Xenopus tropicalis: one gene and its partner. The protein of the gene in region 1 binds, or shares a complex with, the protein of each later gene. Links are inferred from orthologs where the notes say so. Each region holds a gene or a part of one and is shown on either strand. Other genes may lie near its edges.

Region 1 (6,599 bases):
TAAAAATGCTATAAGGAGTTATCTGCCTACATTTTCTGTACTTTGTCAAAAGCAAGCCGAAAAAAACCTGACCAGTTACTTTGTCGGACCTAAGGAACAGGGTAGGAAACACTGCTTTTGATCGCACTTACATTTACAAATGATTTTTTTTTTTTTTTTTTTTAAGGATTGTCATGATTTTTATGGTATACTTTTATTCCCACATTACACTGTTTACATAACAAATAATTCACTCTACCATTTAAAATGTTATTCTTCAACCAACAAATGCATTTTTTTTAGTTGCAATATAGGTGTGTAGGCGCCATTTCAGTGCATTATGCCAGAGTCTGAGCTTTCAGAAGGAGCCAACCCTACACATTAGAACTGCTTTCAGGTAACCTATTGTTTTTCCTACTCTCATGTAACTGTAGGAGTCCGAAGATGGACTTGGATTTCTTACTGCCATTCTAATATCTACCACTTTTAGGGTGAAGACACATCAGCAATTAGTCACCACAACATTTAAAAACCCGCCGCAACCAATTGTGTTTTCGGCGTGGGGACTAATCGCCCCATGCGTCTAAACCCTTTGCAATACAGACGTCAGGGAGCTGCCTTTCCATGATTCTTTTTCTCGTCCTCGAAAATATAGACATGGCTAGCCCCCCAGAATTCCTTTAAAATTAAGTACTGGAATTTTTATTTTTTTTTTTAATATGGATTAAAAAAAGATTTTGATTAGAGATCCACTTTAAAATTATTTTCATATTTTGAATCTGCTGTTTATGTTCCATTTACACTTATCACTACATATGTTAAACCAGCAAGCTGTGCAAAAGCTCACCTTTAATCATTACCATCTGCTTTATACACCACACAATGACCAAGTTACATACCTACATATTTCTTCTCAAATTCACCAGTCAAGTGACGTTTCACAAAGGTTGTTTTACCGGTACCACCATCCCCAACCAGAACAAGCTACAAAGAATAATAATATTAGAAAACATGCAGCACAAATTCCTAATAACTTTAAGGTTTTTTTTTTTTGTTTTTTTACCTTAAACTGCACTTGAGGTTCTCCTTGGGCTGCCATGGTATGTTTGTCAGCCTATAAAAAGAGGAAAAAAAAGTAACAGAATTCTTACTGTCAGCTGCAAGATGTATAATAAGACTACTCATTCCCCAGAACATTCAGCTTTAGCATAGTCAGCCCACATCACTTGATCCTCCCTCACTTTTACACCTCTTATTCATGAATGTTAAAGGAGCATTGTGTAAAGAGAAAATAGTTGATACTGTAGGTTTCATCTTACACTGTTTACTAGGAATTCTTGAATGACTCAGTGGTTAAAAAGGTAAAAATCATGGGAGGGTGTACATTTGCTAGAACTCACCAATGGTTCTAATCTATCATGGGCTAGTGGCCTTCCTCTAAAAAAAAAAAATAATGCACCAGCATGCCTTACTTTACCTTCCTAAACATTCCCTGTGACACCACAAAAAGCAGAAAAAAAGATGGAGTGGGGGTCAGAATTACATCATGCATTTTTATTTTTTGTAAATGAGCACTAATGAGATAGGTTAGTGATTAAAGTCATTGGGTGCCAGTTGGCAAGACATGCCCCCAGTGATTCCTAATGTTCCAGTTGAGTGCACACAAATTAAAAAAAATATACTTTATAAACTGATCAACTGCCTTACACAGTACATATCTTTACACCATACAAAGCGTTAAGGCCATTGGACATTCAATTACATATATGGGTGCAGTAAAGTCATTCTAATAGACCTTTAACGTTTTCCCATGAACCTGAACAACTACCCAACTGACCCATGGGAAATCAAAGACAGTCACGTGTTCTCAAACAACATTTCTCGCCAGCAGAGCAGGGAAATACATGTATGGGTAATAACACAAAATGAACCACTTTCTGAAGCTGCTGTAAACCAAAAGCTCACAACATAGTGCATTACATGGCGCCAAACAAGCAGCCAGAGCTGGAAACCACCATCACAATTTGGGCTTAAGAGCGACAAAGCATAGAGGCTGGAGCAAAGCTTGATGGCTTATAAAAATGTGGGGCGGAGCTACCAGCTAAAAACACACACAGTTCTGCCAGAGCTGTGATGCCATCTTCTGAAATGTCCCAGGTGCCTTGTGGTCATCAGGATTGCACACATCAACTGCGGTTGGACCCAAAAAGACTGCTGAAACATTATAGAACACAGTGGCATGGTTCTGGTACTACTAAGCGGTCAGAAAGAACTGACCTGGGATTTAGAGTTAACCCCCCGTGACTGCAATTGCCAACAAATTGGCACCCCCAATCCTTTCTCTTTTCACTGTCCTTTAAGACACTTATCTTGTGTATTAAAGCATTGGTTTGGTATGCCCAACAACCTGGATGCCTGTATTTGCTTAAAAGGTATCTAAAACCAAAGACTTTTCAAATACACAAAGCTTAGATCCAGTTTTCATCCCTTTCTGCTCTCTACCTCTGGCTCAAACAAAAATGTCAGTTTCTGTCAGGCCTGTTAGGCTAAGGACAAAAGCAGAGTTTCTTCAACAGAGGGAAAAAGATACTGGCCCATGTGTAGTGTTATCAATACCAGCCATTTATATGTACACTTGTGCCAACATCTGCCTATAAACAGAGCAACAGGAAGTTACTGCCAACATCACTGCATAGCAACAGTACAAAAAACCCCACAGGATGTGCAATTAGCCTTAATCAGCTTGCATCTGCCAATATCACAAAAAAGTGTGTAAGTATATAAGAAAAGTAGCTTCTAATTAAATGTTGTTTTCTTTGTAAAAATAGAGCTTTGGGTTGGAGTTTCCGTTTAAGTAAAACTTTGTGTGCCAGAAGTTAGAGGCCCACGTGTGAGGAATAGCTGCAGCGCATTGGCTCAGCGCAGGTACCAGCAGGCGGAATAGCACGCAGGCCAACCCACCCACTAAAGCTTGTGGAAACAACTGCCCATCGCTGCCAATGCCATTTTGGTTACGTGACAGAACAATGCCAATTTCACGCCTGACAAAGTTGGGTCCCACATGACAATTAGTCACTGGGACCAGGATTAGTGGATTAAAAAAAATCCATTCTCCGTGCTAACTATCGGCTGACCCATAAATGTTTGTCTCAACTAGCAAGCTCCGGCCAATACATAATCTATCGGCCACCCCTCCACCCCAGCTAAGTGGTACCTTCCCGCAAGCTAGCAGGCCTAGGAGAGCAGGGCGGTGCGGTTAATAGAACAAGGCCGGGGATGCTAGCGTCGCGCCTCAGTGACACATGAGGTTCCGGGGTGAATGAGCGCTAATGGCGGGGACGCGCTTCCTGCGACGGCCTGCTTCCCGGTTTCCCCGCAAACTACATAGGTTTTAACTAGTCTGCCTTTACTTAACAGCCACAATATTGAGTATGTATAAACCCGGCCTACATGGCACTTCATGGGACTCGGCCTAGTACAAGTCATGTTTATCGCGCCTGATACTGTCTAGTCACCGGCGAAATAAAAAGAAGAGGCCACACAAACGAGAGAACTCGCCCACTGATAATTAGCAGAATACGTGTAGCCTCTGCTAACAGAACATCCCAGCAAATTACATAAGGAACTAGCAGTGAAGTCCCATAAAGAATGTAGCGCCATGGAGGAAAAAAAGCGCGCCAACATATAACTCCCCCCGCCTCTCATCAGGCTCTCAGCCCCGCTTTTCCCTTACCGACTAGAATCCCTCTCAAATCTACCGTGCCCGGCCGCACGATTAACCAGCGAGTGCTACAAGAGCTTCGGGACGCTTTGCGAATAGGGATGGCCGAGATGTCGGGCGGATTATGCGGCAGGGCCCAGCCTATATCTCCCACGGGTTAGAATCTCACCTTCCAGAAGCGTCTGTAAAGCAGCGAGAGAAAATGGCGGAAGCGGGATTCAAATAGCAGGGCGCGCTCTGGGAGGGGCGGTGACGTGGGAGGCGATGACGTCAGTGCGGGCAGTGCAAGCAGCAGCAATGCGGCGGGCGGGAGTGCGGGGAAAGGCCTATAGGCGGGAAGGTTTGAATGAAAGGACTTACGTAAGGGCTCCGTGTAGCGCGCCTCTTCTGGCGCAGCACTAACAAAGGGCTATCTGCAGCGTGTCATGTACAAATGGCACATTGTTTTACGTTTTTACGTATGTCAACTGATAGAAGTGGGTTGCACTGAGGAACACAAAGGGAAAAATGGCATAAGCTCCGACTCTGTGACTCTACTACCATCAAGAGTTTAAATACCGGGGAATTCCCTACCAGTCATTTGAACTGAAGAAGCCACTCGGATTAGTGGTGAAACATTTCAAGAAAACTCAGAAAAAGTCCAGTTGTTTTAGACTTAATTCTACTAGATACTCCGAGACCATGCTTTATGCGTTAATAACGTTTTGCTGTTGAAGGTGAACACTTTAAACCCTCAAAAACAATATATGCTTTTTTTTAATTCAATTTAGCAACACGATATAAGCTAATAATTACATTTTACATAATACAGACATACTGTATATCAGAAAAAATTCATTTTATGCCTGAAGATACAACTGATTTGGAATGCCCTGTATCTACTGACTGTCAACACAAGATTTGTATAGTTTCATAGAATTGTTTGACTTGTATGGGCCAAAATATCAGCAACACAGTAACAAAGTACCCAAACAAACCATACATATTTTTAAAGAATACATTATGGCAAATCCAAAAGCCATGAATATCTCTCAATACTCTAAACTAGCCAACTGCAATCCTTTCCTTAAGTTAGGGATTTTTATAACAATTTCTGGAATTTTGAAAAATTTGCACTAAACCTTTCCCATTTGAGCATCTTATTTCCTACATGAGGTATCAATATAAAACACCCCAAATATGAACATCAGGGCTCTACTTAATATTAACACATTCTCCCAAATCCAAATGAATATGTCTTTCTACTCCAAACCACAAACCCTTCCTGAATTTGGTGGTTTTTATTACATTTTGGAAAATCACTTTAAAGCTTCCACTTTGTAGCATCTTATGACAATTCGCGAAAAAGTCGCAAAATACCGATCATTACGAAAAAAACGCCTTCGGACACTTTTCGGACGTTCGTGGATTAGTAAATGTGCCCCCAGGGCTCTGCTAAACAGTTTGATGTCCAATGTGAGTAAGTTTACCAAAGTATGTGGCATATAGGGGCCCCAAAATTAAATACCCCATGTGATTTATCATTGCTCTTATTTTAGTTACTGCAAATATCAACACCAAGAGGCACATTTATCAAAGCATGATGACCACAATTGCAAAAATTATGTATATTTTTTCTAATGTTTATAACTTTTCATACTGATCACAATAATATCGTTAAAATTCTGCTACCTTTTCTCGTTTTGCGTAAATTTTTACGCAGAAGTCGTATTTTTCGCAATGACTATGAACTTTTTGGAATTCATTCAACTTTGGTATCCTGACTATCTTTTGGCCAGGTTGGAGCTGCAGAGTGCCATTGAGTCCTTTGGAAGGCTTCCAAAATCATGCATCGAAGTTTCAAAGTCAGAAAGGTTCTTGCGACGTTTACGATCATTCGGATACGAAAATTTAGTAACTTTCAGATCGCAACCACAATATTTTCGTACAACCAAGACAAAAAATTTTTGCGCAATTTATGCACATCAGAAATTTGTGCTTTGATGAATGGGCCCCCAAGGGTCTGCTGAACAGTTTGATGCCCAATGTGCATAGATTTACCAAATATGTGTCATGGGGGGACCCTAAATTTCTGCAAATGAAATTTGTTGGCTGCCAATTCAGCTTCTGCAAACAAAGAACCCTGACTCCCTAACAGTACAAAGACTGCTCAAAACCATATATATATTTTTTTTTTTTAAATCACCTAAAATATCTTACAAATTGCCACATTTATGTCACACTGTCAGATAAATAGTTTTTAGGGGAGAAACAAAAGACAAAGGGGCACATTCATTAAAGTACGACAGGTCCGATTACAAAAAAATCATACTTTTTCAAAAGATTACAACTTTTGCGTATTTTGTATGATATTTTCATTAATTTGCGTGACTTTTTTGTACTTTGTGTCAATTTACGCAACAAAATCGCATTTGTCGCAACGAGTACGAAAGTTTTGGATTCATTCAAGCTTCAGTATCGTGACTTTCCTTGGGCCAGGTTGGAGCTGCAGAGTGCCATTGAGTCCTATGGGAGGCTTCCAAAATCATGCACTGAAGGTTCAAAGTCAGAAAAGTTTTCCCGCTGTTTACGATCGTAAAAATTTCATGACTATCGGATCGCCATTCGCAAACAATCGTTTCAATACAAAAATTTCAGAACCTTCGGATCGTAAGTACGATATCTTCCTATTCAAATGAACAGAATTTTCATGACTTTTGCAAACATCAGAAATTAACGGATTTCGTGATTCGGATTTGTACTTTAATGAATGTGCTCCTAAATGTTAAAATCAAGACCTTATTAAACGTTAAGAAAAGTGAGCTTGTGTACACATGTGTGGTTATGTGTATATGTGTGTAAATATGTGCAAAAGAAAAAAAAGCCAGAAACGAAAAAAGCTTCCTTAGTAAAATGGGTA
Region 2 (5,563 bases), on another chromosome or scaffold:
AGCCATAAAGAGCCTAGAAAATCAAATAATCTTTGCAACAGATCTATTTTTTTTAAACTGCCAAGTAATGATTTGGCCTTCTTTTCTGCATCTTCTCAACATGAATTTAAAGTACTATGCAGTTACTAGGTAAAACAACCCCACCAACCCCCAAAGAAGATTTATTGTTACTTCTAAGGGCAGTGGCACATGGGGAGATTAGTTGCCCGTGACAAATCTTCATTACCACTGGAAACTAATCTCCCCACAATATAAATTGCCGGTGGGATGGCATACGCGTTGCTATGATTTCCCAAAGTTGCCTTTCAAGGAAACTTTGGATGACTTTGGGAAATCGTAGCGACGGGTATGCCATCCCACCGGCGATTTACATTCTTGCCAGTGGGATGGAATTGCGGGGAGATTAGCCGCCCGTGGTAAAGAAGATTTGTCGCAGGGCGACTATCTCCGTGTGCCACTGCCCTAAGGGTGAAGACACACTGAGCTACTTGAAGCAGCTACTTTTTCACAGCTACTAAACACCAGAAAATACTCTACCACACACGTAGAGACAGTTAACAGTAAATGATCAGCATTGTCTTTTTTAGTAGCCACGACAAGAAGCTGCTACTAATTGCTCTGTGTGTCTTCACCCTAATTACTTTTACTAATTACTTCTAACTACTTTTTTTTTTTGCCTATTTTAGTAACTCATTCAAACCACTACCACCAAAAATACAAAATGAAGGCCACTTGAACACTGTCTTCATTATACTTAAAAATAACATTAAGGTAAACATTCCTAGCATATTTCCCCCATATGTAAACATATGGGATAAGGACAAGGTTTTCTATATTACACTCTCAGCTTTTAATAATTGGACTTAAGGATAAGTAAACCTTAAAAAAAATTGTGTAAAATTGCTCAGGGTAAATAAAGTGTTCTGATACTGCTCTGCCCAGGAAGGAGATAGAAAAAGGCATCGGAGGCTTCTGATCTTTACCATAAGCAGAGCAACATAAGATCATTTCTCTGTTTTCCTTCTGAAGGTGTATCTCTTTGACTGTAGCAATTGACCAACAGTTGGTGCTGTTGTACCAAAATTCATTATATTATTATTATATTAATAACAAGAATAATGTATGATTCCAGTCTAAAGGTGGCCATGCACGTAGCAATTCCGATCTTTCGTCACAGGAAGGATTGTTCGTTTCCCCCGCAGACGTTCAGGGCTGAATCATCAGATGTGGAGGTAGAAACAATAGGAATTCTACCTCTACCTGCCGATTCAGCCCTGAACGCAGATTTTGTTTGGACGCCGTCAAAATCATTTGTCCTGGTCAATTGGCGAGACAACCGATATCCGCAGTCGTCTCGTCGATCTGCCATACACGCACCGAATATTGTACAAAATGAGGTTTTGTATGATATCATCGGTGGATGTATGGCCAGCTTAACTGTAAAGGTAAGGAAGTAAACAAAGAACAAATATGGAAATGGAAAAATTGGCAGAGATTATGAGCAAAGAAAATCTACAAAATGGTTAATCATCAGTCTACTAGTCTTCATTAGTATTAGGTAAATTCTAATATAAGGCATTTTTCTATTTAGGTATGCCAAGAAAGCCAAACTTTTTAAAAAAAAAAAAAGTTCCTAAGGACTGGGCTGTTAGTTTTTTGTATACATCATTATTTGTTTTTAAGGTTTACTTATCCAAAGTATTTGGTACACTCTTTTATTCAGGCTTCCAACAGTGGATGAAGAAAGCATTAGTGCTGAGAAAAGGAACATACACTTTTATTAACAGTTATAGTCTCCAGCCATTGGTATATCATATATACTATCCATTGGAAAACCTGCAGCTCTCTGGTCATCCAGAAATAATAGGAAAATATTAAATATAGTCAACCCTGGGCCAATCAGTAAATACATCTCTACCAGTCCACCCTATCAACCATTTAATATGGTCATCAAAAGTTATTTAGTTCTCTGCTATCAATGGGCCACTAAAGCTTAGCTCTGCCTTTGTTCTTAAATCTTCCCTAGCCTTTCCTGTCCTGGCATGTCTAGATATCTGTGCAGAATACAAATGAATGGCTAACTGACCAAGATGTTGGGGCTTAATGGGACATTCAGGTGGTACAGTCTCATGGCACTGGAGACATGACCATTCAGAAGAGGCGACAAATGAGAGACACCAAACAAGAGCCTGGGGGAAGGACCAATCCCAAATGGTACAAAAAGATACCAAAGGTATACTTCTGTATAAAGCACAATTAGGCAAATGCAGTTACTGTGTTAAGTGTCCCTTTAAAAAGGTCAATAAATGTATGAGAACTCACAAACTAAAAGCTAGAAAACAATCAGTTATTTGCTTTCTCATCTGAAGCATTTGCTGCAGAACTTTCTTCACTGGATGAGCCCCCTGGCTTGCTTTCTTTTTTCTTTGCTGCTTCTGCTGCTGCATCTATTGCTGCATGTTCCTTCTTTACTAATTCTTCCAATTCAGCCTGCATATAAAAATATATTAAAGAAATTCTCTGTAGGAAAATCAAAATTTTACCAGCATGGCTCTTTTTTTTTTTATATACCGGTACTTTTTGTTGCACTCGAAAACCAAATAAATCATTTAAAATACAAAATATCCAAATCTTAATTGGGTGCCGAAAGCATCCTACTGTCATAAGATAGCTGAACACTCTATAACAATAATAACTTATATAACTATATAATAATAACTATATAAGGGGCAAAACAGTTTGACAAGGATAAAAAGAGATAAAAGGCCCCATGCAGAACTTGATAAATTATATGTAGCTGCCACTTTTCACCAGCAGAAGAATGTATTTTTTTTCTTGTTAATAATGTTGATGCATTAACCACTTTTTAAGAACCTCCATATAGTTTTATCTTCCTTATTATTACACGGTATCTACTATTTATGACCCATGCAATACATCTTAGGCTCCTGCCAGACCTGGCGGATTTTCAGCCTGTGCATAAACCCAGGCCAAGAGTCTGCCCTACGCTCCTAAAAGCTTATTGTTGTGCCTGCATCCAGAGCCACTGTGTTGGCCCGTATTAAACAATTTCAGCTCTTAAAGTTTGCAGAAGTAGATTTTTGCCACCCCTGGTAACTTGTGGGGAACTGCTGCCCGAGGTACGTTTCTTAACTCATCTCATTGCAGCAGCACTTCTGATAACATACCTTCTCCGTGCATTCATTCTCATGTGGTTTCTAAATCACGAGTAGCTCAATTGCAGCTCTTTCAGCTACTTCCTAGTATAGCGTGAAGCTCCACCACCTTCTCTCTTTGACTGTTAAGTTGGTCAGAGAGGTGCCTTCTGCACATGTATGTGTTTCAGTTGGAGCAGAAGTCACAAGCATGTGCAGTAGGCGCATCTTGACCATCTTTACAGTCAAAGAGAAAAGGAGCTTTCAGAAAAGAAATGGGGGCAAAGCTTCACACTCACTGCTTGTGACTTAGAAACCACATGAGACTGAATTCAGGAAGAAAGGTATGTTATTCTAGGGGGTATGTTATTCTGTTTAGAGTCTTTTAGGGGATTTTAAAGTAAAAGAAATAAAAGGCTTACTTATCCTTTAAACTATATACAAGCTCAGTTTGCCAATACCTGGGATAATGCTTGTACTGGATTAAAAATACTTTTAACTAATTCCTTTTCCTATCACTAAAAATAAACAGACGATATGACACCACAGTCTCAAGACTTGAGACAAAACATACTATTAAAACTACCAGGTTTATTGCATTATCTTTAGCATATACTATACCTTCCACCCCAAGAAATCAGCTAGTGCAAGGCAGCCATCATCACAGTCTCCAAGCCATGCAACGTCCCTAAAATCAAACATAGTATTAGTGTTTCTTAACCTTAGCAAACAATCGAAATATTTAAAGTTAGTATCATATTATTCAAGGGAGATTAACAATTTTACTTGAAGGAAAATATGTTCTGAATGAAATGGAACCAGCAGATCGGCAGCAGGGTGCCACCAGGGCCAGGACTAGGGGTAGGCAACACAGTGGCATAATGATTTGAATTGATGATTTGCTTCCTTACACAACAATCTGTGGGATATATGCCCTTAGTAATTGTTACCACACAGCCACTGAATCCAGCCTCACAGGGCTTTATATTGTTGGAGTGGTTAGTGGATGGAAAAAACATTGGAAGGTAGAATTATAAAAGACCAAATTGGATTCCTCACATTTTCCTGATTTTTTTTTTTACAGCAATTCAATCTTATTTACATTTATGATATTTTTCCTGTCCTTCTGGAATTATTTGAACAATTAATCAAACCATTTTTGCATTTCTGCCACAGGATTTTTGCCAGAAAGAGAATGAGCTTTGAACTCCATTGCTTCGACCTTTGCAGCTGGTTTTTGTGTGACAACTCGAAAATGTCGATTTTATTGTGTAACAAGTCATAAAAGTTAAACTTTTCGCGGCTTTTTCACCTCAGACTTTGATAGATGTCCGACATTTGTGAAAATGAGTTTATTTGTGGTTTAAAAAAAAAAAAAAAAAAATAGAACAAGATAAATTTACATTTTAGTAAATCTGCCCCTTAAAGTCTTCCTCAGCATAATTATATTATTTAGTGCAAACAACAATATTTTCCATTTAACTGGCGTTCAAGATTACCTGTATGCTTTCTCAGAATCAAAGTCCATGCCTCCTCCAAAGCCAAAAACACTGAAAAATGGGTCACCCTAGAATAACAATAATTAGAAAAACACAAAAATAAATAGAAGGTATGCAGGTGACTTAAGAACAAATTAAAAGCATTGTCATAACATTAATTGCTTCCCTAAAAGTTTAAATCAAGTTCATAACTTACCTGTCCTGCCAGCTCCTTGTTTATTAGAAGTCTAGGGGTCTTACTAGACACTCTGTAATAAAACAATAGGTGAAAGGTTAATTCATCACCTACATTTGGCACTTACATGCACTTACAGCCCCATTAGGAAGAATCGTTGCGTTTCTTCCTGCACTCCCCTGCAGTGAAACCCATGAGAATGCCACCGCAGGGAAGTGCAGGAATTAACACTCATCAGTACTAGCCCTTAAATTAGAAACAAGGCTAGATTCAACTAAGGTATAAATGGATACTTGTAGCTGGCTGCAAATACTGTGTTAAACCATAGCTGAGCTGCTTACAAAGAGTACTTTGCCTCACAGACAAAAATCCATTTGTAGACAGCTAAAAGTAACGTTAATATATCTATTTTTATATTGTAATTGTATGTATGTGTCTTTATACTGAGTATAGATAGATGTATATATTATATATATATATATACAGTTACAGCAGGAGTGACTTACTTGCTGACAAGAGATGCAAATGGCTGAACTTGCAGAGAGGTTCCCATCACTATGAGCAGATCAACCTTGGGAAAGTCCTTATTTAAGAGTAAGAAACCTTATTAAATTAAGTTATTATTAATCTTTATATAGCACCGACACATTTTGTAGTGCTTCCTAACACATTCACACACTTGGGTTAACTTAATTTGAAGTCAATAGACTTGGAGTGTGCAAACACAAACAAAC

What was found. Proteins that work in one complex are often made in the same cells at the same time.
Region 2: the proteins of ran (region 1) and sirt2 are in contact, whole or in part, in a crystal structure (PDB 5FYQ), measured with the Homo sapiens proteins. The link is inferred for Xenopus tropicalis from reciprocal best matches to the Homo sapiens genes RAN and SIRT2. Residues at the interface, in NP_006316.1 of Homo sapiens: Phe35, Glu36, Lys37, Lys38, Tyr39, Val40; in NP_036369.2 of Homo sapiens: Phe96, Arg97, Glu116, Phe119, Gln167, Ile169, His187, Ile232, Val233, Phe234, Phe235, Gly236, Glu237, Ser238, Leu239, Phe244, Gln265, Val266, Gln267, Pro268.

Annotation. Positions count from the first base shown.
Region 1 is NC_030677.2:157,742,177-157,748,775, forward strand, and holds the start of ran (GTP-binding nuclear protein Ran), read right to left. Parts: upstream 4,026-6,599; 5' UTR 3,870-4,025; exon of another isoform or gene 3,713-3,869; intron 3,325-3,712; exon of another isoform or gene 3,194-3,324; intron 1,094-3,193; 5' UTR 1,079-1,093; coding exon 1,043-1,078; intron 964-1,042; coding exon 879-963; intron 1-878. UniProt on the Homo sapiens protein: GTPase involved in nucleocytoplasmic transport, participating both to the import and the export from the nucleus of proteins and RNAs. Switches between a cytoplasmic GDP- and a nuclear GTP-bound state by nucleotide exchange and GTP hydrolysis.
Region 2 is NC_030678.2:55,099,013-55,104,575, reverse strand, and holds the end of sirt2 (NAD-dependent protein deacetylase sirtuin-2), read right to left. Parts: intron 5,413-5,563; coding exon 5,336-5,412; intron 4,903-5,335; coding exon 4,851-4,902; intron 4,723-4,850; coding exon 4,655-4,722; intron 3,844-4,654; coding exon 3,777-3,843; intron 2,491-3,776; coding exon 2,344-2,490; 3' UTR 1,620-2,343; downstream 1-1,619. UniProt on the Homo sapiens protein: NAD-dependent protein deacetylase, which deacetylates internal lysines on histone and alpha-tubulin as well as many other proteins such as key transcription factors.